Linked DNA regions of Styela clava. The protein of the gene in region 2 interacts with the protein of the main gene of each other region in a pairwise test. Links are inferred from orthologs where the notes say so. Each region holds a gene or a part of one and is shown on either strand. Other genes may lie near its edges. The genes, in order: enolase-phosphatase E1-like; E3 ubiquitin-protein ligase NRDP1-like; homer protein homolog 2-like; iron-sulfur cluster assembly 2 homolog, mitochondrial-like.

Evidence for each region.
Region 1: the proteins of E3 ubiquitin-protein ligase NRDP1-like (region 2) and enolase-phosphatase E1-like interact in binary tests that used the Homo sapiens proteins (3 or more experiments, as listed by UniProt). The link is inferred for Styela clava from reciprocal best matches to the Homo sapiens genes RNF41 and ENOPH1.
Region 3: the proteins of E3 ubiquitin-protein ligase NRDP1-like (region 2) and homer protein homolog 2-like interact in binary tests that used the Homo sapiens proteins (3 or more experiments, as listed by UniProt). The link is inferred for Styela clava from reciprocal best matches to the Homo sapiens genes RNF41 and HOMER2.
Region 4: the proteins of E3 ubiquitin-protein ligase NRDP1-like (region 2) and iron-sulfur cluster assembly 2 homolog, mitochondrial-like interact in binary tests that used the Homo sapiens proteins (3 or more experiments, as listed by UniProt). The link is inferred for Styela clava from reciprocal best matches to the Homo sapiens genes RNF41 and ISCA2.

What each region holds. Positions count from the first base shown.
Region 1 is NC_135260.1:20,663,994-20,671,242, reverse strand, and holds enolase-phosphatase E1-like, read right to left. Parts: upstream 2,818-7,249; 5' UTR 2,646-2,817; coding exon 2,588-2,645; intron 2,338-2,587; exon of another isoform or gene 2,248-2,337; intron 1,564-2,247; coding exon 710-1,563; 3' UTR 504-709; downstream 1-503. Other genes in the region: copper chaperone for superoxide dismutase-like, read left to right, coding at 1-69; DNA replication complex GINS protein PSF3-like, read left to right, coding at 5,949-6,105, 6,527-6,645, 7,013-7,129. UniProt on the Homo sapiens protein: Bifunctional enzyme that catalyzes the enolization of 2,3-diketo-5-methylthiopentyl-1-phosphate (DK-MTP-1-P) into the intermediate 2-hydroxy-3-keto-5-methylthiopentenyl-1-phosphate (HK-MTPenyl-1-P), which is then dephosphorylated to form the acireductone 1,2-dihydroxy-3-keto-5-methylthiopentene (DHK-MTPene).
Region 2 is NC_135254.1:24,427,187-24,434,039, forward strand, and holds E3 ubiquitin-protein ligase NRDP1-like, read right to left. Parts: upstream 1,894-6,853; 5' UTR 1,813-1,893; coding exon 853-1,812; 3' UTR 503-852; downstream 1-502. UniProt on the Homo sapiens protein: Acts as E3 ubiquitin-protein ligase and regulates the degradation of target proteins. Polyubiquitinates MYD88. Negatively regulates MYD88-dependent production of pro-inflammatory cytokines.
Region 3 is NC_135252.1:13,246,959-13,254,941, reverse strand, and holds the start of homer protein homolog 2-like, read right to left. Parts: upstream 3,004-7,983; 5' UTR 2,852-3,003; coding exon 2,847-2,851; intron 2,396-2,846; coding exon 2,239-2,395; intron 1-2,238. UniProt on the Homo sapiens protein: Postsynaptic density scaffolding protein. Binds and cross-links cytoplasmic regions of GRM1, GRM5, ITPR1, DNM3, RYR1, RYR2, SHANK1 and SHANK3.
Region 4 is NC_135257.1:17,407,301-17,413,850, reverse strand, and holds iron-sulfur cluster assembly 2 homolog, mitochondrial-like, read right to left. Parts: upstream 1,932-6,550; 5' UTR 1,825-1,931; coding exon 1,375-1,824; 3' UTR 514-1,374; downstream 1-513. UniProt on the Homo sapiens protein: Involved in the maturation of mitochondrial 4Fe-4S proteins functioning late in the iron-sulfur cluster assembly pathway. May be involved in the binding of an intermediate of Fe/S cluster assembly.

The DNA.
Region 1 (7,249 bases), on a different chromosome or scaffold from region 2:
ATCTCAATATGGGATGAAAGACATGTTCCTAATGTTGGTAAGGTGCGTACTGAATTCTCGCAGCCTTGAGATGAAGAAGTAAGGCTCCATCTGGCAAATGAAATATTTCCATCCTGCTGGGTCTTGTCTAATCACTACCACTGCAAGATCATCATTCTTCAAATGGAATCAGTTCATTTTACTGGATTATTATTACATCATACATAGGGTCCTGGATCCGAAGACATTCCAAATTTCTTTTTCAAGGGAATTACTCTATGCTTAGAATTTCAATACTCGACACTGGGCAGAATTTTGCAACAAAAGGTTCACAAGCTAGCTAAATCTTTCCTTTATCAGAGATTTCCAGAGAGAGATATATGTTTTGTATTATAACTGCTAAGCCCAAACTAGCAACTTGATAATTTCTTGGACTCCTTCAATGGATGGTTGATTTAATGATAAACAGATCTTTTCAATATTTTTTTAACTTTATGAATTTCACCACATAATGCACAAACCAATTATTTCCTAAATAAAATGTTATTTAAGTTGGGATTTATGTAAAATATGCCTGCATGCTAATTATTAGCTTAAAAGGGAATATGCGCCAATCAGTAGTATTTTGCTGTCCAATACTGGGATCAGCAAAACATTACCAAGAATATGCAAAGACACATGCTTCCCAAGGTTTAGGAATACCAATCACTGATTACTAAGTACCGTAGTTTTATTTCTTGAGGGACTCGTCAACTTTCTGACGCTTTTCTGGAATATCTTCCTCTGTGAATACAAGTTCAGAGAACGATTTTATTGTTGTAAATCTTTCCAGATCATCTTTTAAGATGGGGTAGTTTCCTGGACGTAGCACAATACAAGCATTCATTTCAGCTGTTGTTGCTGCCTCTGCTTCAGCAAGGACATCTGTCAAGAATATAATATTTTCTGGGTTCTCGCCTATTGAATCTGATATCTTAATGTAACTCGACGCTTCTTTCTTCGCGCCAACATTTGTGTCAAAATATCCACTAAATAGTGGGCAAAGGTCACCCCTATTGCTATGTCCAAAAAGTAGTTTTTGTGCCTTTATACTTCCAGAAGAATAAACAAAAAGCGATTTTCCGTCAGTCTTTAGGGATTTCAAAGTACTCGGCACATCCTCATAAACATCACCCTTGATAAGTCCATCTGCGTAAGCAGACTGCCACATGTGGCCTTGCAACTGTTTCAAGGCTGTCGACTTTCTGTCTTTAGACATTTGCCACAAAATGTTTTTCACCACAGATTCTTGAGCACCTTTTTCATCATGTGATGGTATTAAAGGTACATCTTCAATTTCCGATTGTCTATCAGACTCTGCCAAAGCTCTTAGAGCTTCATAATCATCTAAGAGTTCTTTTTCATTCCAGTTTTTGGTCAAGTATGTCTTTATGTTTTCTTTGATGTATGGGAACAGGACTTCAGTGACAAATGTTATTGGTGTAGTGGTTCCTTCAATGTCCACAACAATTGCTTTAATATCAGTTTCAACAAACTCTTGCAATGATTTTCCTTTTGTGCTCAACTTCATTATTGCATAAAATTCTGTAATGGAACCAAAAGAAAAGGAAGTTTGACTGTTAGAGATTTCTGCAAACTATTGTGTGGTATTTCAGTTTCAAGCTACAAAATCGATTATTAATGTTAGCAGGGATAAAAATTGAATTAACAAATTTAGCAGAAAATGTAACAACCATTTCAAATTGTGTTACAGTCCTAAATGTTATAATTGCATAGCTCTGGTTAAACTGTTCCTGTGAGCAGTAGGAACCTAAGCATTTCGTCCTTAATGTGTCTAAATAGCGTGGCTGTTAAAAATGATGCGTCTTGTCATTGTATTTTCATCATCAGTGTTTTGAAACCAGTTATATTTTGCCAAATCGATGTTATGATTGCTCCTTTCAGCATTTATATTTATGCTAAGAAATTTGTCTTTATTAATTTTCAACCTCTAATTACATTAGAAATTCCAGTCATTTAGTTTTTGGCATGGCAACAATCTGCTTAGATGCCAATGGACTTGAAAACGCTTTCCTTTCAATTATATGGGTAACCAGGATAACTACCGGTATGTACATCATATCCTATCTTCATCAGCACAACATACGTTACCACATCGGTCAGCCAGTTACAGTTGAAGTGTAGGACTGTAGGTTACATTCAGTCATCAAGTAACACTATTCATTATTATAAACCTTATGTGTGTTAATTCTAATTGATTTATTGTACCTAATGTTCTTTATCATATATTCCATTAGTTCTCAATGCCCAACACTTCACCCCACATGGCTATACGCCTATACCTACCGACCGACGCCCCCTCAAATATTCCCCAAACTGTTATTGCCATCAATGTAGCTGAAGTGGGGAATACCCTGACAATTTTATGGTCTGGTGGCTCATCATCATTTTATTTCGGTATTCTGACAAAAAAGAGAACAACACAAAAAATAAACAGAAAAACAAGATGCAGAAATACCTGGAAAGCAAGAATAACTCGCAAAATGAAGTTGAAAAAAAACAAAAAAACAAATGTTTTTTTTGAGGGAGGGGTTAGCATTTATATCACCTGGTGTCACAATTAGTTCTGTAAATGAATCTGACGTCATAATTTCTTTTCTTTCCATCTTTGTGCGGTGACTAAGTAATTAGCTATAGAAGTAAGATCGGGCCCAAAAATTCCGCCCCGACCCAGGCCCGTGGGTATTAAACCCGACCCGAGCCCGTCTAATTAACTGGATTTGCAACCCAAGCCTGAAATTTCATATTTAATTTAGGCGTTCATTGAATAGTCATTGCAAGAGTTTTGTACAGTATGTGTCATGTTGATGAGGTAACTTCTGTTTTTTGCAGACCATGATCTTTCGTGGTCAAAACGCCTCATTTAAAAAAAAAGTCAGCGATTGAGAAGCCAGATCCGATTCGAACGTAATGATTGACATTTCCGGCCCGAATTTTGGGTCGGGCTTCAGATCTTAGCTCCAATTAGCAATGCCTATCCCTACAGCCGATATACATAGAATAGAATATTATGGCGTATTATTTCGTAAAACTAACAAAAATAATTATATAGCAATGTTGAAATTACGTGGCAAAATTAAACATAATTCCAAGATAAAAAGAACACAAAATGAGTACAAAGCAAAGGCATGTGTAATTAAAAATACTAAAACAACAGCCAGTTCAATATTCCTCATATTCACGAAAGTATATCAGTATTCTAATTGGTTAGGAGGATATCAAACTTCATGAAAGTTAAAACCATAACTCAATATTAATATTATCATCTCTCCTCATGCGTGGCACCCGTATTTCTACAATCGTTACTACTGCACAAACTGGAGCAGGCAAAAACAGACTTCACACAAAGGCATTTGCTGCTCATGCAATTCAATTTGGCACGGTTGTATTCAAAAGGGTGTGTCTATATACAAGAATATATATATATAAAATCTTATACAAGAACTTGTGATTTACATAATATGTTAATACGCATGCAGATTTTGGTGTATATTCATAAACAGTGCATTGATAGGTATCTTTTTGAAGATGAATAGTGAATATAAGTAATAAACATCAAAAGTGTTGTTAAATAAAGTAACTGAAAGATTTGGGCATTAAAAACGGTCTTGACAATGGAGAAGGGTACGAACTAAGCTATCCTGGGAACCAAATGAACATCTATTATGCCTGAGGGCGTATTATAAATTTAAGGTGAAAATTCTCCTACTGAACCTATTTGACGGTAGCGTCAGTTTCATAATGCACAAATAAGAAATCATTTTTAGCAGATAAGTTGAAACTGAAGACATGGCAGAAATAAGTGATCCTATTAAGGAGTGTTAGATGTAGATGCATATTACCTGAAAGTATTGTGGGACTGAGTTCCCGAACGGCTACTTACATTCTTTTCCACTTTGCGCAGGCCCCCAATTGCTAGATGATGGAAATGATAAGCCCAGTGATGAGAGCAGCGACAGTATGTCGGGTAATTAGCCAGTTATTTCAGATGCTTGGACTTGATGATGGAAGAAGCTGTAACCGACCCGCAGTTACGTGAACCACCCTACGGCGGCGAAGAGTCCAGCAATCCTCTCGCACATGGTTATCTCCCACGGATTTCGGAACTGCCTACCCACGCAGAATAACATTCCTAACGCTTAGCATGTTGCACCACACTGAACCTGAACTATGATCGTGTGAAGCGATTGCATATTTATGAATCCCCTTCTTAGTTGACCCGAAAGCTTTTCATTCATGAAATTTTTCCCAGCTTCCATCAACATTTTTTCGCAAGTTTAACAGCCAAGTGGATAGCAAGATTCATTATACACCCAAGATTTGTCTTTTTCTAAGTTACACTTTACTTTTACGCATGAACCTCAAAAATTCTCTGCAATTCCATCAACTCCACATTTTATCCAAACTTTGGCTACCATTTTGTTGTGATTTTTATTATACGCGCTAAGCGTTTAAAATTTTAAAAGTTTTTTCAGGGGTCAAGGGTCGGTGCAACTTCGATTCCTGAAATCTGCACCCACACTAGTGTTAACCATGGTTGAGCATTGAGGGTGTTGAGCACAAACAGAATTCGGGTCCAGGACTCCGAAAAACAGGATTCCGGGCCTGGTTTTCAACAAACAGGATCGGATCGGGAGTAGTCTATATAACGACTCCATAATCAGCAAAAAGGCGATAAGATGTTTGATAAAAACAAATTATTAAAAACTGATTATGAAATCCAGAAATCAGGAGAGTAAACAAATCCGTGGACAAGTTTTAAAACGTACAGAATATAAGACTGTAAGATGGATTGCCAAAAAGAAGTGGTACGTGTTCACTCACCTAAGAAAAAAAAAATAAAATCATTCACACACGCACACAACCATAGGGCATTAATAAAATTAGAAACGAGAATATCGGTCAGAGACCCATGATTTATCAATAGTAAGTTAGGCGATCCCCCAAAACAGCGCTCTTTCTCCATAGTGCCACCTTGTGTCCCATCACTAATTAATTAATAACTCGCTAATTATACGACATAACTCATTCAAAATCTATAGGCTTCTGATCCGAGATATGATGAATGCATATGCAAAATTCGGAGCGGATTCATTCTCTTTTTCGTGAGATATCGCTTGTGTCTATCAGACAAATACCCATCAACATACTTTCCGATCTTAAGATCGATAAGTAAAAAGAAAGAAGCTTTAGATAAATTATATGGTAACCAAAAAAAAATAAATAAACACATAAAAAACAAATTAGAATAAAAGATGAAATGTAAAAAATAATAAGGATTGTTTGCCACACCATTTTTATAATTTTATAAAAATATCCAAACAAGAGTGAACAGTATTTAATATAAGGACAAAAAAATGATTTCGCTAAGCTGATTATAATTGGAGTCAAGTGCCAAGTTGCCCAACCAAAGTTGAGTGCATGAAGAGGTAGGCTAAACCTTTTCATTAGCCAAAAACATGCCAAAATATTGCCAAATTGTAGTCCAGATTACATCAATTATTAAATACAGAAATACTACTAATAATGTGGGAATATTTTCGGTTGCCCGGAGTCAATCAGGAGTCCCAACTAAATCTATATTATACCCGATGGAAGTACCGTACATACATGCATAGTTTAAACGTACTTAAATTACAGAATTATCTGTACATAAATATTGAAACATAATCGTGCCTCGTTAGGCTGATGCCATTGATGAATCCTTGTTTACAACTGCTGTACAAGCCTGAACCAGATGTTCTGTAATTTCTAACAGAGTTCAGGAGTTGGTTATTCATTTGAATTATACTGGCCATCATATTCACTGCATGGTTAAAGGACCAAGTAGATAAAGTTTCCAATGAGCGAATAATATGTTATTAAACTTTTGTCTATAGATAATATACCTATAATTACTAATTATACTTATGGATTGTGCTCCTCCGAGCGGAAGCTTGAAGCAAAACTATTTTAGTATTGATGATATTTTAATGTCAAGTGAAAAAGTTCCATGTAGCTTTCTTTTGCCAGTGTTTGGTTTGGGTTTTCTGGATCCAGGAAGTGGTAAAAAGGACATAACCGAAGGTATTGCAGCAGTTGAATATTATGTATTGTTGCAGTATGCAAATTTTACATAATTCCAATTTTAAATTACAGGACTGTTTTTATGAAGTTTCATCACACTTTTTTTTAAGAAGCCACTGTTCAGGCTGTTACATAAATCTCTATCTACGTTAGTCATTCGGGATGGACCTATTTCTCTCGCATTTAATCCAATTTTAATAGATTAAGTTGAACCTATTTTTTCCACTGGTGCATATCACTTATGAAGGTTCATTCTCTTACGAGTATGCCAGCTAGCTCGAATGTTGTGAAATGCATTATTTAAATTTAACAAAATACCATTGAGTTTGTCTGGCTATCCACTAGCTACATGTATTATTATATAAACCGTGTAGTATAATTCCTGGTTCACACATTCTGATAATGCAAAGCTAATCTTCAGGTACAAAGATGGATTTGCCATTATGGCTTGCATCATCACTTGGAGCAAATCCTAAAAGAAAACTTGTATCTGTAGAAATAACAAAACCTTACAGAGAAGTTTATAGAGAAATTCTGAAGGTATTTTGAAAACTAATATTCTAATGAAATTTTTGTAGACAGAAGGTATTATGTGTATATTGTACAAACAACAATTCATATTGAATATTTATATAGGAATATGGGTATGGTAACAAGCTGATTAGCGGGCTAACTATTGAAGCTCAATTTTCACTTCTTTTATAGTTCACTTCTCTGTTATTAGCCTTTTCCAGCCATAGTCGTGGTCCCTCATTTAATAAACACAAAAATTTGTCAAATAATATTTTATTTAATTTATGAACCTTGTGTGTGCTATGTTTGGTTTTGCTGCATTCTCTCCTCATATTTTGCATGTGGCTCTGTTCATTCCCTGTTTGGTTATTTCTCTTTACATTCAACAACATAGGCTGATGCATCAGTTGTAGATCTACATAAACTCGGTCCATATTATTATGCAATGGGACAACAAATGCTGGTTTTTAATGCAGATGAATCTGTGTTTGTTGCAAGAAGTCTAGTTCAGGTAACTTATTCATGTTCTTTTCTTAGGCACAGGATTATTGTTACATTAGGAGGTGTTTCACATATTCCTCTCGAAAGATGATTTTAGTAAAGCAACTGTGAAAGGGATCAAAATATTCTC
Region 2 (6,853 bases):
ATCAACGGCTGTTGGAATAAAATGAGACTGCCGGTAGCAAAATAGAACTTTTGATATATTTAGCGTTGTTGTTGATTCAGTGCTCATACAATCAATTAATATGATGATATATTTAGCATGCTTAGATGAAAATGATAAGTTGAGACATCCTTTGCGCGTCGAGTACCGTACGGTACGGTGCCTTCCGACATATAAGCACGTTTTCTTGTCACTTTGTTACCATTTGCACAGTAGATATTGTAACCAAACACATTTAATTTAATATATTTATCTTTACTATTGAAGTTGTTAGTATAAACAGCCACCTTTCCATCTCCCATTACAAGAAGAGCCTCCGCACAGTTGCAGGCTAACCCGTTAACCGCCGTCGCATGGCGAGTGGTCCATGGCGAGTTAGCCCTCATGGCGAGTTAGCCTCCACCCGTTCAAAATATAGTACTCCACATCCACACATACCTGTTTTGGTCCACATCGCCCCTGCATAATTTGTAACCGCACACTATAATATAACAACATCGATATATTTTCTTACCACTGACTAAAACGATGCAAAAATTAGAAGTAACAAAGTCAGCGAGACATTAAAGCTAACACGAATCAATCAGTAAATGAATAACATTAATCGTCATTACTATGGCACGGCGTCGTAACGGATGCAAAACGATCAGATGCAACTCTCTGCAACCAAGATAAAAACAACATTATTGTGATCAGAAAAACTACGAGTCGTTTGGGAAAATAAGCAATATGAACTAAATTCATTCCGATAATAATGAAGCTGTGTTTTGGAAATACTATTGATTGCGAAAAACGCTACAAGACCAATGAAAAAAATAATAATAACACATATATTTACGTTACGTCCACAACACCATGGGCAAAAATAATAACAATTCCTGGATGTAAAATCATATCGTCTCCCATATGATTATTTTCACATTGCAAAATCACAATAGCCTGCTTTCCCGGAATTCTTTTTGTGACATAATCCTCGTATTGACGACGGTGGAGTTGTCTAGTTTCTAGAGTGCTCAAGCCAACAGGCCATCTCCTCTCATGTGCATTTTCCATCAAATCATTAACAATGTGTAATGGGCATTGAGTATCAATTAGAGCTCGTTTAATAACTGTTTGTAAAACTACATCTGGAGTAGAAATCACCCCACCCCAGCGGGTGACCCTCGCAAGTGTAAGTGAACTGCCCCACCGTATGACATCATCTTGCTCCATTCGTTGCTGTATGATTTGTAAGCTTGGATTAGTTGGTATTTTCAAGGCTTTAATGTACTCTTTTAAAAGAGATACTTCATGTTTCAGTTCAGATATTTGCTTATTAGCTTCAACCTTATGCAAATTTAGATCATTGATCTCAATTTTTTGTTTGTTGACAAGACAACGCAATTCTCTGATACAATTGTGGTCAGACATTTCGTCTTTTGGAACAACTACGCCACAACCACGAGTACATTGTATAGGTTTTTTTGGATTAAAATCACATTCAGTTTGATGTGACAATAACTGATCAAGACGTACGATTGTGGCACAACCATACTTTCTATTTTCACACATCAGAGTCAGTCGACCTAACATATTCCTCATTATCCTTGGAACAGGTTTCAAATGTTGGGTTTGCAGTTGACTACGATCTACAGGACATGTTTGTTGTCTCTGCAACCAAGCCTCTATACAACATTTGCAGAAACAATGCTCACATTCTTCCACCATCACAGGATCTTCAAGAACGCCACCACATATCACACACATTAACTCTTCATCAACTCTACCACTGAACCTCATCAGATCAAATCCCATTTTGACAGTGCTTTTGTAAAGCAGGCGTTTAAAATAAGTCCATTGTTATATTATATTGATGCTCTGTAGAGGTAAAAAGAAAAATGTAAACAGAAAGGGGATCACTGAGGGAACACATAGATAATACTAAAGATCACATGGAGTTTGACCTATCACTATTGGTTCACTATCACTATTGGTGTTTTTGGATATGCAAAGGATTAAGCATCGGCATCAAAACAAGGTGACGAGCACTTTGGTAGTTGTAGCGAGGTTTCACAGAAGCTCCCATAGAATACTCTCTTCAACCTCACTACAATCTGGTCTAAGCTCGCCATTACATATACCAGCATCTTACTACAGTGGTTTTCAACCTTATTTGTGGAATGGAAGTCAAATAAGACATTCCAGTGGCTCAAAATACCCCTGTGCAATGGCTTATTATTTGTCTTATTATTTATAAGTCATTGCAAATCTATCCAAAATTTGGATACATATGTATACCTCGGTAGTCAACCAACAAATTCGAGCCAAATATGTTGTGGAACTCAAAAGGGGATTTCGGAGCTTACCGCGCATCTCGGCTGACTTTTGACAATTCACCAAGCATCAAGTCAAGTCAGAACGTTAGCACTTGCACTTGAATTATTTTCCCCACCAATTGAGTTATATATTCTTTTGAATTAAATGCCATGGGAGATAATTTGCAAAAAACTAACCAATTTTAAAGAAATTGTACACTATAAGTGTGATTTGTACCAGAGATGTCAGTGGACGGTCAAAATAAATCATAACCACTAACCCAGGGTTCCCCAAACTGGGATCTGCTGGGGGTTCATGATGACTGCACAGGGGATCCGCGACTATATTAAGAGTCTGATCAATCTTCAACCACTGATTTAAAGCCATTGCATATTTTTGTTGGAACGTTGCGCAAGAAATTGCTGCCAGAAAGGGCAATTAGAGAACAAACCTACAGGTTTGAGGCAGCGTTTTCATCTTAACCAATTCGATGACAAAATGCAGGTAGAGACTTGCTGTCGAGTCGGACTTACGTGTGCTTATCATAAATTGCTAAAACAATTGATAAATTGTGCAGTCGGAAGCAATCTCATCCAACACTTTATTATCGTTAGTGTTATTGTGATGTATATGAAACGCTACCATTCCTCGTTGGTTAGGCACAGGAATTGATACGGCATAGAATGGGGGGTCCGTCAAAAATTAGATTCTAAAACAGGGGTCCGCAGCTCAAAAAGTTTGGGAAACAATGCGCTAACCGCTAACCAACTAAAATTGGGTCGTGTTTAAAAAAATCCAGCCGAAGTGTTGTATATGCTGATGGATATTGAGTTGGGATAGATTGTTTTAGTTAGTTTACCACAGTTGTCAGAAATTATTAAAATTAACGATATCATATATAGCTACCTAATTTAGCAAGTATTTCAATAGTCTAATCATTTGGTTTTGGAATCAAGTATGAAATACTTCACAACAGACTTAAGGACATACATTATAATGATACATAAACATCCCCTCAGTATGTCCAGCTGCCTCTCCATATTCTGATATTGGTGTAAACAACATACAGACATAACACAGTAACAGTACTGTGATGCATGCATGCTAGATAATGGGCTTGGATAATGGACTAGGGCTTGTAGCCGATCCTATTATCAAATCGACCAATTTAAATAACTGACAAGTCTTGCATAAGATAAGGGTCTAGTGTAGTTTGATACCACAAGTACTTCTAGTGGGCTTGTCATAACCATTTTCACATATATAATATTCCTAACCAACACCTGACTATGTCATCCAAAAAAATAAGTCACTACTGCACTAAACGCCACGTCATATAGCCCATCAAAGTGTAGCTATGATCACTCAAAATAGCATCTACGTCGAAGATAATAAGCTCATCAATTATTATAGGTTATGGCGCTTCTAATGTGCACCAGACTGGACCAGGGGTGTGCAAACTCTGCGGGCCACAAGGAAAAATGATGCAGTCTGCGAATAAGTGCCAATTTCAAATGGTGTTCGGCCCATCGAGCGAATTTTTAATTTGGTTTAATCTGGTTCTGGTTTGTTATGCTATGAAGTTCATATATTAATATCTATGCTTATGACAGTACAACTGTGCATTGCCAATGCCCTAACCGGTACTGTATACAGGTAGACAATAACAGCTAGCTTGCGCGAAGCAAACAATGAGATTCACGAATGTGTCACCCGATGCAGCGATGAGCAAGCAAGAAATTTAAGTAAAGTACAGAGCACACTCTAATAAATTAGTAAAAACGGGCAACAGGAGTTAAATTCAAATGAGTTTTGGTTTCAGCATTTCAGTCAAATTTGTCTGAATCTAGTCTAAAATTAGACAGATTTGACAGCAAAGTCAGAAAATATTTCCAAATGAATCTTGGCGATTTTTACTGAAAACATCCCAACCAATATAACTTACCACATTCTGCACTTCTGACATTTAAAGAACTCATGGCTTTGAAAACGGCACTATTTCAGTATTTGACTCAACATATTCTGATATTAGTCATCAGATTAGTGTGAACAGTTATTTTCTAAATTGGTTGTCATGAAACCCACCTATTGATCCGTTCTGACGGACTAATACCGGTAGCCTACTTGAAAAACGAACTTGGAACTGCTAGCTTCTAGCCCCTCAAAGCAAATTTAAAAAAAGGATTCCGAAAAGAAACCACTTGCAAATTTCTCACTGAATTTGTTCAGGGAGCCATAGCAATGACATAATCATGTTTTTTGCCTACAACTACTAGAAAGTCTTTGTTAAGTATCTGGCTCTTCTGTATTAAAGGTTGCACACTTCTGTTCTAGACAACACATGCCCACACCGGTACAGACGTAAGCTTGCCTGTAAGCCGAGCCATGATATTAAGGAATTTATGTAAAAAAAACAAGAAACGCGGAAAAATTACAGATGTATATCAGCCGAGCGGCGCACAAACCTAATTACAAACGGAACAACTTTGGGGTCAGATATTAGGTATTTAATTAGTAAAGAAATATTAAAACTATGTACATAATTTATCAAAGCCAGCGATCTTTCTGATATCGCGATCGTCACTTTGGTTACAACGAGAAAAATAGCTTGGCTGTTTCACTAAAGAGAATGATAACGTTTCACCAAGCATCGATTTCCTTGTTTTGGTTTTGTAACAATGACCATGCTGATTAGCAAAAAGTCAACAACGACGTAACAATTGACTTCACTCACTCACCAGACCCGTATGTTAGTCGTTGCACCAGACAGATACCGGATTCAAACATGGTTGTAAACAATGTCTCGTTATCGCGGCTTCGCGTATTATTTGTCAGCTTTCAGTTGTTTCCAAAAAATAGTTGTAAATAAAGTGTTTTCTAATTGTCATTATGTCTTCCGATGAGAGTAGTTCAGTTGAAAAATAAATAAAAAATTAGTCCCAGAAAAACTGAGATAGACCCACAGACTCAAATTAGCTATTAGTAACTGCAAGTGCCACGTTGTTTTTTTATCAAAAGTAATTTTTACATTTTTTTAAATGTAAATCAATTTGTAAGTGTCAATACTCGTAAAATTTGCAACTTGGGATGAAATTTGCAAGTCCCCAATCCCCGAATTGTTCGATATCAATGTAAACTGCGGACAAGTGTTTCCAAACTTTTTCTGGCAAAGCCCCCTCGAATGACTTTTAGACTAACAAACTCCCATCTGAATATAAAGTACAGGTTTATAGAGGACTTGCACGGGTCACGTGACTTTGTTTACTGGACGGCAAAAAAAAAAAAAGTCCATTTGGCTCCTGTCAGTTGCAAGTCGGATTATACGTTTCCGTTTTGTCTGGCTGTTGAAAATGGTTATTTCGTATTTTTCGAAATGGATCTTCAGTTATATTCCACTGTTTTCAAAAGATCCGGAACGTCGCGCAATGTGGATATCATCTATTGGCAGGACTGCTTGGTGTCAAGTCCAGAAGTCATCTCGCTTGTGTTTCACTGTTTGCGGACAAGTCTTCCAGACTTCGTTGATAGTGAGTGATAATGTGCCGTTATCAATTTTCCTTAAGTATATTTATAAACTCCTTCATTTTAATGGAAAGCAGATGACAAACTATATTGGTAGGCCTACCCCTTTATTTGAGAGTTGTGTAACCCAAGCTAATTTGCAAATGGTATTCATGGTACCAAATATATAATTGGTTTTATATGCAGATACTAGGTTGATATTGAGATTGACCATTTCAATGCTAAATTTTCTTTAGTCAAAAGGCACACTTGATTCGCAAAGATTTGTGAATGCGCACAGTACACCAATTTGCAGTGGCGGCGCGTCAATAGGGCCAACCGGGGCAATGCCCCGGTTGTTTTTTCGGTATAATAAAAAATATTCGAAAAATACCTCAATATCGGTTGCACAGACTGTCTACACTAGCCATATTGTCCCGACATGGTTCATTTTTCGCTCGCAAAGCCTTCGCCGAACGTCGACGGGGCGACGCCGATTTTGCCCCGGTTGCTCATTGTATATCGTATTCTCTCTTTTATCTTCCACTCGCCGCGTTTGTCTCGTTTGTTTTCTGTTTCTTTTACTAAATCATCGGGGCTAGCCCCGAAATCATGACGACACAATGCCGACGTTTCTTACAACAACGTGTTGACATATTCACGCATTCCTTCTCGTTCGTTGGTTGCTTGAAGAGTTGATAGTTTCCTCGCCTTCGTTTTTGTCGCTTGTTTCGCTATTTGAATCAGTTAGAAACCTTTAGTCCATTTGCTTTCGATTTTCCACATTCCTTTTGAGCTCCTCACTTCTTTCCGGCTTCGCATTTCTTAGCCTTAGACCTCATAATGAATAAGGTTGATGCACTACTTCGCACTCCGTTTTCGCAGCTGCCGCTGGAACAAAAATTAGAGGTACAACGTCTTGGGCCTTATCAACCAATTGTTCACTGGAACAATCGCATGACGAAGGAAAGCGTCGGCGTACATTCTGCGCAGAAACTTGGTATAAAAAACACGAATGGTTGTGTTACAGCGAGGACAA
Region 3 (7,983 bases), on a different chromosome or scaffold from region 2:
GCTAAGTTTAAAAAAATCTCATTTCATCACATTTTATAATAAATTGGTGTTTAAAGTTTAAAAATACCATTTTTCAATGAGATATTCCTAAAACTGGCAAAGTTTTGGCATACACCATTTAAATTTAAATTAAAATATTTCATTCAATAAGAATATTACAGTAACGGAACAGTACTTTACAGAAAGGCATCATATGCATTTTTTTTTCCAAATGAAATTCTTTGGCGTGCATGTTCATCCAATCGAAAATAGTTTTTTTGTACAAAAATAGCCAATTAAAGAGTACGAATTAAAATAGGCGAAACAAAATTAAGGACAAACTTAAAATTGTGAAGTTGATTTTGTTTATTTCCACAGTCAGATCATCTTGCGGAACGGATAAGTTGATGTTCCTAATCAGCACTTATTGTCCCAAGTATATGGATCAAATAACATAAAAACAGATGTATGAAGATTATCTTTATTAAGCTTCAACATTTCTTGTCTTGTGCAATATGCTATATATTTTGTTGAAGTGGCTTAATCTTTTAATAATATAAGGACGGTGACAAGACTAAGGTATAACATGATGATATCTAATGGATGAGTCGGGCATGTGGCGGAATCAGCATAGTATTATTCATTAATTATTCAATACATCTTCAGATAGTCGTGTGAACCTGTTTACAGCGGAATTAAAGTCGATTGTGAATTCAAGACAAGGTGCATACTTCTCTTTAAAAAATCAACACAATGTTAAATACATAAAATGAAAAATGGTTTGTTTGCTTTACCACAGACTTCTGACATTCTAATAATTTATTATCTCAAAATAAATACAAGCACTTAACCCAACTGTTCAGTCCAAATATTTTAAAGCAATTTGAATCTTTTCTCAAGTTTGTGTTATCACGAAACGGAGGGATGTAATTAACACTAGCATGGATGACCAAAATTCTTTCACTATTCTGAACACATTCTAAAGAAATATTTTTGAATGTGGTTATTGAATGTCATCATGCGTCCATTTATCAATGTGTTTGAATTTTTTAATAGAGGATAGTTGATATAAACAGTGATTTGATTTGTCTATTTATTCATAGCTTTCAGAAATTGAAGATTTCAATTGCTCAAAATTATAATTTATTGAATAAAAACATTTTTCTAAATATTGAATAAAATAATTACCGTATTTACTCGAAATTACGCCTATATCGAGAATAGGCCGACTCCCTAAAAACGGCCTTAAAACAGCGATTTTTTATAAAATCGCACATAAGCCGGTCCTACGAATCGTGACACGCCGAACACCTCAAGAAAAACGTAGAAAGAGAACAAAATTACTGTAACGCAAATATTTCTCACGTTTATCATTTCTGCGTGTTAGGGAGGGCCGTAGGTGGATTATTACCCGTAATTTATGTTAAACAAAGTCTTTATTGCTTTTCGGTGCGTCGTGATTGTGTCGGGAGTTTAAAATAGAGTTCCTGAATCAGCATAAAACAATTTCCTTTGATCGCCACAACGGCGATTAATTTCGTTCCTTGTCTGTTTCAAGGAAAGAAATAACGCTGTATTAACACATTCTTATAGATCGCTACGAATCTTAACACGCCAGACGCCTTTTGAAAGGCGCAGAAAGAAAACAAAATTGCTGTAACACAAATATTTCTCAAGTTTATCATTTCTGTTTGTTAGCGACGGCCGTAGATTCTTATTCGTAACTCTCACTTGTAAATTCATGTTAATAAAGTCCATATTGCTTTTCATGCGTCATGATTTGTATTAATGGAAGGGATTGTTGTCGGGAGTTTAAGAAAGTCCCTGAGTCAGCATAAAACAATTTCCTTTGATCGTCCACAACGCGGTTAATTTCGATAAGAGTCCTTATCACCGCCCCTTAACGAATAAAATATCGTAAAGTTATTCGGTCCCTTAGTTTGGCACCTTTTTTTTTTGAGTTTTAAACTCGGCCTATTTGCGATCATATATACGGTAATTACGAATCTATTATCCCTGATCACTGATGAATAGTTAGTGGCCTCGAAAATACATCCTGAATTAACAGGAGTTTAATGAAAACTATTTAGTTTAGGGTATCAATAGTATTTGTGTCAATGTTGATGGAATAAGCAAGTTTAAAATCAGTCAATAAGGAGATGGAATGGGTATAGATGGCTCATTCAATTGTTTTCCATGTAGGCCTACAGTATTTATATTTACTGGATATGGAATGTAGATTGTATGAAAACAACCCACCTTGGGTCCTTCAACTCCAATAATTCTGTATGTATTGCGAGCTGAATCGAAGAAGAAGTTGACTGGAATCGCATTCTTGCTTGCTGGAACCCAGGACTTCTTCGTCACTGGGTCAATCATGAAGACGTGAGCCTTTGTGGTATAGATTGGTACTTCCCTGAACACAAAGTTAGATATGATGAAAGGAAAACCGTGTGGACATTTATTGAACATGACTGCTTCAAATGTGGATTTTTTTTTTAACTTTTGAATTTTGATGCACTATAATATGCACCAAATTTATTGTAAAATCAAATTTCGATCATCCAAGTCTGGAAAATGAAAAGGCCTACTTTTAATATGAATATCACTGCATAACCATTTGACAGTTGAGTTGACAAATTGGGAATTTTTTTCAAACTTAAAAAATGTATTATAATATCCACCTAATTAATTGTAAAATCATTAATAAATTGCAATCTCACGGACAAATTTTGAATAAACAAATTCTTGAAAATGAATGAACTTTTTATTTGAATATCACTGCATAACTATTTGACAGTCATTAATTTTCTCATTCTGACATTCATGCCATGATAAAATTCTTACATTACACAAATTCCACCTACCCCATTGGAGTATCTTGGATTTGTTGTGGTATTCACCCAGCAAATTCAAATTCATCAATTTCTTTCATTATCAATTCACAGAATGATCAAAAATAGCACAACACGAAAGCCATCAGTCATAAAACCTACCATACAAGAAATAACACTACATAAAAACTGTGAAAATAACAAAAAACTCATAGGAATTACAAAAAAACTATTTCAATAATTTTTCATGATATACATTACAACATTATTACCAGATTAAATGAAGAGTAAATCTTTTACCAATACTCAGTAACTGAACATGATCCAACCAAATTTTAAATCATGACAAATATGAAACAAGGACTACCAATCAGCCACTATCGAAGAGGTACATATTTACATAATAAACATAATTATTTGGTATACTTTGGCATGATTCTCTGCAAATAGTTGTGGCCTCTATCTCAATAAATCATAATACAACAATAATATTGAATATTGAACTGTTTTATTTGAATTATAATATAAACACATTAATTATTAATAAGTTACCGGTAATTAATGTTGTATTCATATTGGGCGCATGTTCACTAAAAACGCCGTAAGTTTTCTATTTGGCGCGTCACAACCCCTTTTGCATATGTTATTCCTAACCACTGGCGTATTCGTATTCCTAGAAATAACATATGCAAAAATGGTTGCGCCACACCAACTAGAAGTACTTACATGATCATCGTGTTGTGAACATGGCCCCCATATTGAGATAACAGCGGTTAAAGCGCAGTAATCTTAATTTTAAAGTTTATTTCAATATTCAATACTTATTTCAATACTCCTTACTTTAATCAGGAACAATAGATAAATGTATATCTAGAATAATTTTTTATACACAATAATTTTAGACATAATATGCTGCATAGACTTTGATTATAAATGGTGAATTAGGCACGAAGTGAACAAAAAATGTATTTGAGGATTGGCTCTAGATAGATGCTAAAGATTTTTACCAAGACAAGTTAAATATATATTACCGCCACCGGTATTGCACTGATTTTGATATAACAAAGTATACAATTTTCACACTAACCACCGACAAATTGTAGCAATCATGTTCGTTCAAATTAAAAACTACTAAATGCTAAATTAATTTGCGGTTTCATTTGATAAATCACAATCTGATAACAGTATGCATATTATTGGGATCCGAAATAGCTTGATTATTTGCCTGCTGTAGGCGTGTTGCTCTTTCCTGTTCAAATATACTAAGACAGAAGAATATAACTTCTTTTGTGTCTTCTGGCAAAACAATGCCATCGTACCAACACTGAGACGCACCATAGAATGCTGTAGATTTATGCTTCAATGTTTCATACTCTGAGTACGAAATGTCAGAGTTACTGTTCCACAAAAATTCAGCACCCAATCTAACATTTGGCCACACAAAATGGAATCTTGCACCCATAGATAAAGAACACATCGGATGCATGTGAGGTGAGCCTACCAATCCTCCAACACTGATCACTATTTTTGGACAAGGACAAGTGGCAATACTTTGCATGAAGGAGGCCCTTGATTTGATAACAGAATTGCTGGTATCATTCACAGACAATGTTTCGTCATCACACAAATTTTGAAGAAATAAAACAGGAATTTGTCGAGCTCCACACAATTGCACAAAATTGGAGCCCTTTTTAGCAGCTTTGTCTGTTATGTAGCCATTATTCGCGATAACTCCAACTAAGATACCACTGACGAACATAAAACCAGTGACAAGTGAAGTACCATATTGTTCTTTGTATTCGTGAAATCCATCGTTATCTGCCAAACACTTAATGATCTCATGAGCATCAACACTATATTCTTTATTACCAGCAGCAAGTTTACATATTTCGGTTTTATCTTTTTCATAATAGAAATTCTCTCCCTTCACTTTTGTCAAATTACTTGTTGCTACGATATCCCGAACCCTTTTCAAACCTTCAATTTCGGTTTTGACAAAGTGGTCAGTGCAACCACTCAATCGAGAATGTAAATCTGCACCCCCCAATTCGTTTGGTGTCACTTTTTCACCAGTAGCTGCTTGTACCAACGGTGGACCGCCAAGAAATATAGTACCAATTTGATCAGCTATCACAGCTTCTTGAGCCATTGTTGGAATATAGGCGGCCCCAGCAGTACACGACCCACACACAAATGCGATCTGAGGTATGCCTTGTGAGGACATAACAGCTTGATTGTGAAATATTCTACCACCAGGATTAAAAATTTCAGATTGTAATGGTAGAAATGCACCTCCACTGTCCACAAGATAAATAGAAGCCAAATGATTTTCTTCAGCAATTTGATGGCATCTCAACTGCTTTTTGAGAGTTATAGGATAAATTGAACCACCTTTTACAGTTGCATCATTAGCAACAACCATGCACCATGTGTTGTGAATTTTACCAATAACAGTTACTACTCCAGCGCAAGCAATATTTCCATATTCCATATCATATCCAGCCAGTGTACCAATTTCTAGTACAGGTGAATTTGTATCCAAAATTTTCTTCAGTCTTTCACGAACAAGAATTTTTTTATTTCTTTCTACGTGCCGCTTTATTGCCTTTTCACCACCTCCTTGATAAGCAGTAGCCACAAGACTGTTATATTTGCCCCTCAATTTGTCAATATTTTTCAAATTGAAACTGTACATGTGCTTCATCATGCTACTATCAAAAGACTTTATTTTTGGAAGGGATTCTGAAATAGATTCTGACGAGTATTGGATTCTCAAACCATTTTGACTAATTGAATAAGAGTTTGAAGCAAGTTGTTTTCCAAACAAAGAACTGGAAAGGCTTCCTCGACAGATAAACAATGACTTATATATAGTCATCATTATTGATGCTGCTGATGGTGATTAAACAATAAAATTTATCTATAAAAAAAAAGGTCAAAAAGTGAAAATAGAGTAAAAATTCCATTCGCGTTGTTTTATTGGTAGAGCCTTTATTTTTGTAGTAAGTGAAATTAGCAATATTCTGAGAGAACAAAGTGCTTGTCAGCTTGTAAATATTGAAAAACTAGTCTATCGTACATCAATACTGTTTATTCCCGATTTCAGAGATCCTTCGTCTAAAAAACATGCATGAAAACAGTAAAAAATACAAAAACTGAATAGTGATAAACTCAAAATAAACTGAGATTCAAGATGTTAGCAAGCAAAAATGAACAGAGAAGAGTACTGAAGTACGAATGATACTTTTAGTTAGGTTATATATTCTTTTCGTATTTAGACCCATGGAACTGATACAACACAAAAACATTACCTGGATACTGGAACACAGGGCAATAAATAAAACTACAACAAACAAATTTCAGAGAAATCAAGATCCTGAGAGTAGAGTCTAGCCGAAGCGACAAAAAATTGATGTCAAAACTGCCTGGATAACGCCTAACAAAAATGTGATGTGAAATTTTCATTTTTTCGACGAAATTATTAAAAATTAAGGATGTATAAAAATTGTCACATTACATTTTTGTTTGACATTATTTAAGCAGTTATAGCATTTATTTTCACATCACATTTTTATTTGGCTTCATTCAGCAGTTAGGATTTTTCAGTTTTTACTTCAATAGAACCAAAACTGCCAGGTTGTACAGTCAGGATAGTATTTACATATTTATCTATAGGGAGAGGAAAGCCGATAAGACAGCTTGACCATATGGCGAACCACGGCCTCTCGTCCGGTTATCATCCCATTTTGGGTATGGGACTAGTCAGTTATTTGTTTTCCGGAAGCATGGATTTGATGGTGGAGGAAGCTGAACCGACCAGCGGTTACGTGAACCACCCTACGGCGGCGAAGAGTCCAGCAATCCTCTCACACATAACCAATCCCCGCTTGGGATTCGGTAAAATTAACCAATACCTTTAAATCAATCAATGACATGGAACACTGCAAGAGAGAAAGATTTATTTCGTCTATCAGAAAAAAACAGTCACACCAATAAAAAATAAGGCTAAAAAATACACTTTTCTCAGTATAGACTGGCAGACTGGAGGGTTTCGTACCTAACATACTTCTAGTAGGCGTAGCATAACAATCTTTTGACATGACAATCCTAACCCTCACCTGACTACGCCATCCAAAAATTACAACACTACGACGACACAATCACGTCATAGAGCTTGCCAAATACTCGTACGATCGCCCGAAATGACATCGGCGCCGACGATAAAGAACTGACTAACGTCAGCGATGTCTCTCCTATAGGGATCGTTGCGACGAGAGAAATGGCTGTTCGGGTTCTCGTCTGGGGTTCTAGTATAGTACCACAAGTACTTCCAGTGGGCGTAGCATAACGAATTTTGCATATGTTATTCCGAACGCCCACCTGACTATGTCATCCAAAAATTACGTCACTATGACGTCACCATCACGTCATAGGGATTACCAAAGTATAATTACAATCGCCCGAAATGACATCTGAGCCGCCGATAACGAACTTGCTAAAGCCGGCGATCTCTCTCCTATCGTGATCGTTGTGACGAGAAAACGAGAGAAATTGCCTGCTCGATTTCGGGTGATCGACTGCGTGTTTTGGACGACCATCCGCATACTTCGGTGGGCCTTATTACGCCACTGCAGCACTGTGACGTCGAAATGAGGTTATTTTTCGGTGACGTAGTCAGGTGGGGGTTAGGATTGACATATGCAAAAATTGTTGAGCCAGGTAAACTAGAAGTACATGTGGTACTAAACTATACCAGACCCCTCGTCTGCACATCTTGGATGACAGTTCGCATAGTTTGAAGGGCTCTATTACTGTATTACGTCACTGTGACGTCGTAGTGACGTAATTTTTGGATGGTGAGGTCAGGTGGGGGTTAGAACTGACACGTGAAAAAATCTACGCTATTTCTACGCCTACTAGAAGTAAGTTAGGTACGAAACTACACGAGACCCAATATGGCTATCTAATACTGTCTGACTGTATTCCAGTATTAGAAGTAGTTAAAGTTCTTGAAACAAAATTTGAAAACAAACAAACAAATCTGTATCAGACAACACTACTTACCGGTACCGTACGAGAGGCGGACGACTCATCTACTAAATAAACTTCTGACCTTATTGAATCTCAAATCACCATGCAATGCCTTTTGAGCGGTCGCCGCGTTTGCGCA
Region 4 (6,550 bases), on a different chromosome or scaffold from region 2:
TGATTCCCATGATCATCCCGTCATTTTACTGAAATCTAATTTCGCTAGTTTTTACCTTTTATCTGTAGTGTTTTTATTTTAATCATGCATTGCACTCATTGTCATTCTATATTTATTCTTTTCTTACCTGATATTAGAAATGAAGCGTTGATGCTTTGTACAAAATATATAGAACCGTGTACAATTGTTAGAAAGTTTTGTGATGATGGGTAAAATCTGTATATTGCCCTACCCGCAGCTTGATAAATTCATAGGCCTTGCCACCGCCACAAAATGATGCTGTCCAGACTGCATGGGAGTTTTAATCTGCCAAAACATTCCTTGATTAACTATTGTGAGTGTTACCTACACTTGGCCTTATCACCTGTGTATGGACACTAAAGTGGTTGGTTAGCAAATTCGGTACTCCCGAAGTGTACAAAGGGCCACAATTTTATTCCGATTAGAGTTCGAGGACTCCCCCTGCCCATAGGTTTCAGTCCCTTTACACAACTTGATATAAAATAGGCAAACAAAATTATTCTATCGCATTCTATTCCAAAGTTGATATTCAAATGCCCTTTCTTTAATGCACCTTCATGATGGAGGGGCTGAATAACAAATTGGAACAATGGAAACATCATGAATTAAAAAAATTGTAATATTTGAGACTTCCATTCAAAAGTTACAAATTTAAACTGATACACCTAGAGGACATTGGTTTATGCATGCTGTGTCTGATATTCTTTTCTCAACAATATTATAAATAAAGGTGTATATTTTCAAACCTGCCAAATGAAATTGATTCCGAAACTCTTTATAATATATTTCTGTAAATCTTGTAAAAACAAAAATGCAGAAGCTATTAACAAACATTTATGGTATAATAATATATATCCAAGTTCTGAATTTACACCAGTAATTGCTTAAGAGAAAAACGTCTTTATTTAAGAAGTACAATGGAACTGATTTACAAAATTGTGAGAATAGTCATCAAGAAGTGAAATCGTTACGGTGACATTGAACCAAATCATGCAGATTTCGTGTGAATACTTTGATTTGTGTGTATTACCTTTAGTGAACAAAAAATAAATAATACAGCTATGACACATTTTTGTGTGTTATCAGATAATGGTTGGCATAGCGAACAGTTTTTCAAGAAACCCAACAAAGGCAGGTTGAGATTTGGCACTTAAGACCATTTAACCTGAACTTTCTGGGTAGGAAGCTTCTATTGGTCTACTCAACACGAGGGTGCAACTATAAGACTCAAACTTTGAGCCTGTACAAAACGCAATTTTACTCATAATAGGGGAGTCACAGTAAATATGATTTAAAAAAATTATAACATGAATACATTCAATAGTTGTATGAAGCATTAAACAATATAAAATACTATAAATCAACTGAAAATGAAACTCCGCAGGAGCAGCTAGTACCCGACTGTGGGTTATCAATAACTCTGAATGCAGATTTTATAATTTCAGTTTGGTAGTCAATTTTAGATCCCTTAATAAGATCAAGAGAATCAGAGTCTGTTACAACTTCAACTCCATCTCTTGTAAACGTTCTGTCATCTGCTTCTTTCGTTGTATCGAGATCAAATTTATATGAGAATCCAGAGCACCCACCACCTTCCACTGATACTCTGAGAAACTCTCCTTGTTTAGAAAATTTCTTTAGGTGTTCAACACAAGATTCTGTCAGAATAAGGTCAGCATTGTTCAAAGGCTTTGTTTGAGCATTTTGAGACAGACATCGACACACTGTGTGTGATGATGAAATATGAGATATAGATGGCATCAAACGTGTGAAAATTCTCCCAACTGTCGTAACAGTAGACATGGTGCATTTGAGTATATTCGAGACTTTTATAAAGTTGTTTTTATCTTGACTTAACCAAGGTATATCATCAAGTTCACCAGCACTAGAAATGGTAAATTATTTATTTACAGATTTAAAACTATACAAGAATGATAAATAGTCAAGAGTGGTGACAGATAGGTGGTTCCTGTCTTGTAATTTTAATCGCCTCTCAGATATTTGGTTTACACTACTTTTAAAAATACTACATTTGATGCACAAATATACAGAATATATTATAACATCCTAAACACATCTGTTTGTGCTCAATCTTAATACCGTACCGGTACTCTTGCAGCACTGAGTTTTGAATACCATGATACTGCAATAAAAAAAACAGATACTTTATATGTTCAAAATAAACTATCTTAACCTTAACTGATACAACCATTCTTGGCACATTTCCATTTAGTTGTATTATACCCTATGATTTCATGCAAGTCCCTGCGGTCGAATGATTACAAGGGCTACCTCGACTATACAGATCGAAAGTGAGTGTCATGATTGCAGGTGTCCAATCTTAGAGACCCATCGGATATATACGAAAATCTTACCCTATTCACATTCACACAAGAAAAAACAATCGTAAATATGCGTGATTGTTTGTTGTATACAATACTCTCGAAACCTCTGTGAAGTTAGCAGAAAGTCACGAAATTGGAGCTGACAGAATCGCAGAAAATTCCTACACGTAAAATCAAATGTTCCCAATCATTTTGTGCTGGGAAGTGTATATTTTGAGTGATTTACCGATAGCAATTAAGGTAAAACAATTAGTCATCACACTATTCATTTTTTTAATATATATTAACACACTAAAACAACTGTAAATGTCCCAATTTCAAATTCCAAGCTGTATTAAAGGGTTCTTTAAAATTGACTGAATTTCAATATTGACTCGATTTGGGGCAGGTATTTCTCGAAAACTTCCAATAAAGCCAGAAAAAAGACATATTGGGAGAAAAGAAGAAACCTCATAGATTCGAATTCATCATGAGAGAATAGTAGCAGCACGTTTTGAACTGGCCATATATAATACCAAACATAGCGTATTTTTCGTTAATTTTAGGAATAATATATATAAATCATAGTTAAAATTGGTTTTGTATTTCCACTAAATAATCAAACTATTATCTTTTTTAGTTTTTAATACACGATAATAAACGTCTAATACATTTAAATCGGGTATCGGAGAAAATAAAATAGGTAAAAACATTTTACGCCCCTCGTGGATTCTTTGGGAAATTTCGAAATGTTACAGTTTTGAATGGGCGATTTCCCGAAAACCTCCAATAAAGCCAGCATAACGACATATTGGGGGAAAAGAAGAAACCTTATAGATTCGATTTCATGATGACAGAATAGTAGAAGCACGTTTTGAACTGGTCATTTATAATACCAAACATAGTGCATTTTTTGGTAATTTTAGAGAAAATATATATAAATCATAGTTAAAATATATATAAATCATGGTTAAAATTGGTTTTATACTTCCACTAAACTCACTAAATAATTGAACAATTATCTTTTTTTAGATTCTAATACACGATAATAAACGTCTAATATATTTAAATCGGGTATCGGAGAGAATAAAATAGGTAAAAACATTTTACGCCCCCTCGTGGATTCTTTGGGAAATTTCGAAATATTACAGTTTTGGATGGGCAATTTCACGAAAACCGCCAGCATAACGACAAATTGGGGTAAAAGAAGTACTCTCATAGATTCGATTTCATTATGTCAGAATAGTAGCAGCACGTTTTGTACTGGCCATATATAATACCAAACATGACGTATTTTTTTGGTAATTTTAGGAAAAATAAATATAAATGATAGTTGAAATTAGTTTTAAATAGTAGTCATATTGGGGGTGTCAAAATAGGGCTGACGAAATGCGGTCATTGCGTGTCAAATTGGCGGTGACGAAATAGGGTCGTCGAGTCAAGTTAGGGGTGACGAAATACGGTCGAGGCGTGTCAGAATGTAGATGGCAAAATATCACTCAGCGTGTCAAGTTACCGTAAAACAGCGAGCTGGATGAAATCAAGAATCAGAAATTCGCCGAGTATTTATATGTTTATTGTGGCAATTGAGCCTCTGTTAATTACTATCAACCTAAATAAAGATGTGAGAGTATACCGGTAGTGACGCTAGGGAATATAGAATTAAATAGAAATTATTTATGAAATCGGCGATGACAAACCTTCATTTATGAAATGGTGCATGCATCTGGTGTTTTATTGCATGAATGAGGAACCGATCACGGAGCAAAATTTTGGAAAAGAGCACGCCGTATTGTAAAAACAGTCAACGCTCAAAGGAACAATCTCTCGGAACTTCGAGTCCTAGATGTAACATTCAATAAAAATCAAAAACGGAGGCATAGTTCGGAGGCCAACGTTATGAAATACATCTGCATATTTATTATCTTGTTGTACAATGTTGCCTGAAATACGTTTGTGTTCGTCGGGAGCTTCAAAACAAGATATGAAAAACGAATAACAGAATATTTTACAGTTGGTTGAATTTTTTTAAGAAAATTTCCGTGTCCTCAAATAGTGTCAAACAATTTTTTTCCTATTTCTATTATTATATTTTATTTAATTATGCATAAAAATGACATGAAAAAAACATGATTTATGTCATCGTGCAAAGTGATCGTGATTCAATTTAAATTTGACGTACGACTGGGATCACTCTGCATAGGGGGACTAAAATTAACGAAATCTCTCTATGCAGAGGGATCGAGTCGTATGCCAAATTTAAATTAAATCAAAATCAGCTAATTAAATTTAACTAAACATTGTAAATAATTCTTAGTTTGTTTCAAATTTTTTCGATTATTAATTTGACTAACATTTTTAATGTGAAGGTATGTTTGATATATTATGACGTTTTGCTCTTGAAGTCTTGAACATCTCGAAATAGTAAAAGATTTATCATATTTTAAGCGGAAAGTTTATTTGTTTTGTCAAACAGAAAACAATAAAACGACAAAATATAATTGTAAGCAACAAAATCTCGGTATAGACTGTACAGCAACTGGTATCAATACGATCGTGTGGACATCAAGATCAGTTACCAGTACCACTCAATATTTATAACTTGAATAACAAGAGCTTTAGATGTGATAAATTGTAGGTTTGTCCGAGACCATCAATAACTTTTAATGGAAGAATAATTTAGTTGGCAAGCGTTTGGGATGCTATAAGCAATAATTAAATATACCTAGATATAAATTCAGACAAATTACTTGCTTGTTCAATTATGATATTAACGAATTTGACATTTTTGATTGATGACTAAAATAATAAAATAAGGTTTTCATGTGAGTGTATGTCATTGGTTACTTAAAATATGTAAATGGTGAATGACTCGAAGTAACGTCTATATGGGGGCATTAAAACGTCACTGCAATAGTCAAGTTGTTCGAGTGTTAAAGTTCGGAGCAACAAAGTAGGTATAAAAAAAGTAATCATATCAAAATTAAGCTTAAATGTTTTTGTATGAATAAGGTCTACAAGCATCATGTAAAATATCAGTAAAAATACCCATGTTAGAATGTAATTGACACTGGTTTTTCATTCTTTTAGTTAGAAACCGAATTCTAAGAGAATGTCTTTAAGAGATGAAACGCTATTCAGAAGATGTTAAGTAAGTGAAACGCATTCTTTAGTGCAGGGTGGTCCAACCTTTTTGGCCGAAGGGACACATTTAGTTCACGAATGATCGCGCGGGCCACTTGACATGGTGGTTATGTTCTAGTTTTTACTACGCCGACTGCAGATTAATGAAAACCAAACAAAACCCGCAAACCAAAATTATAAGCACAATGAAAATACGAAGATACAGTAAAGTCAAAAGTTTTTACTACGCATATATATTTCAATGTCAAGTATGACACCGCTTTCATCCAATAAGTTTGTCAATATTCGGTGCGATGGACGAGGTAGCAATGCAGAGCGAATTTTTCATTAGCGAAATTAGTGATCTCAGGGGGATTCGACATGGATCATCTGTGAAAAAACTTGCTCGCACAAGTAACTACTGTCGAATATTGAGGTCATGAAAACTGCCTCTTTTAGCTTCGCAGAAAAAAGACAGGGAATCAGATTGAAATACATGGCATACGATAAAAATAAATTCAAACATCTCTCTCCAGCAACTACGCCCACAAAGAGACATAAAAATAGCTTTCGATAGCTGGGCGGTGCTTCTCGCGCGTTTAAACGACGAGGAATAACTTTTTATTAGAGGTTTCAATAATGGCTCAGATTTATGAAAAACATTGGGATTCGAATAATATCGCGCGGGCCACTCGGAAACCTTCAGCGGGTCACATGTGATCACACACGGGTCACACAGGCCATGGGTTGGTCGACCCTGCCTTAGTGCCACCCTTAGTCCCACCCATACCCATTCGTATATATTCCATCTGATGCATCTAAGAATGTACAAAGTCGAAATGAGCAAAAGGTTTTGAAAGAAATGAGTCCAATCCGAAAATTGCACTCGAAATGTTACGGAGAATCTTTTAAATGTTTATGTAAATATGAAATGATAATTATACGGCTATGTGCTATTCGGTGGAACCTTTTAAATTAGTTTGTTGAATTCTAGATTCGCTGGATATCATTGGATGCCACATTTGAAATATACAGGGTGGTCGCTAGAAAAGCAGAAATTTGCAAGCTCGAATGAGATCAAG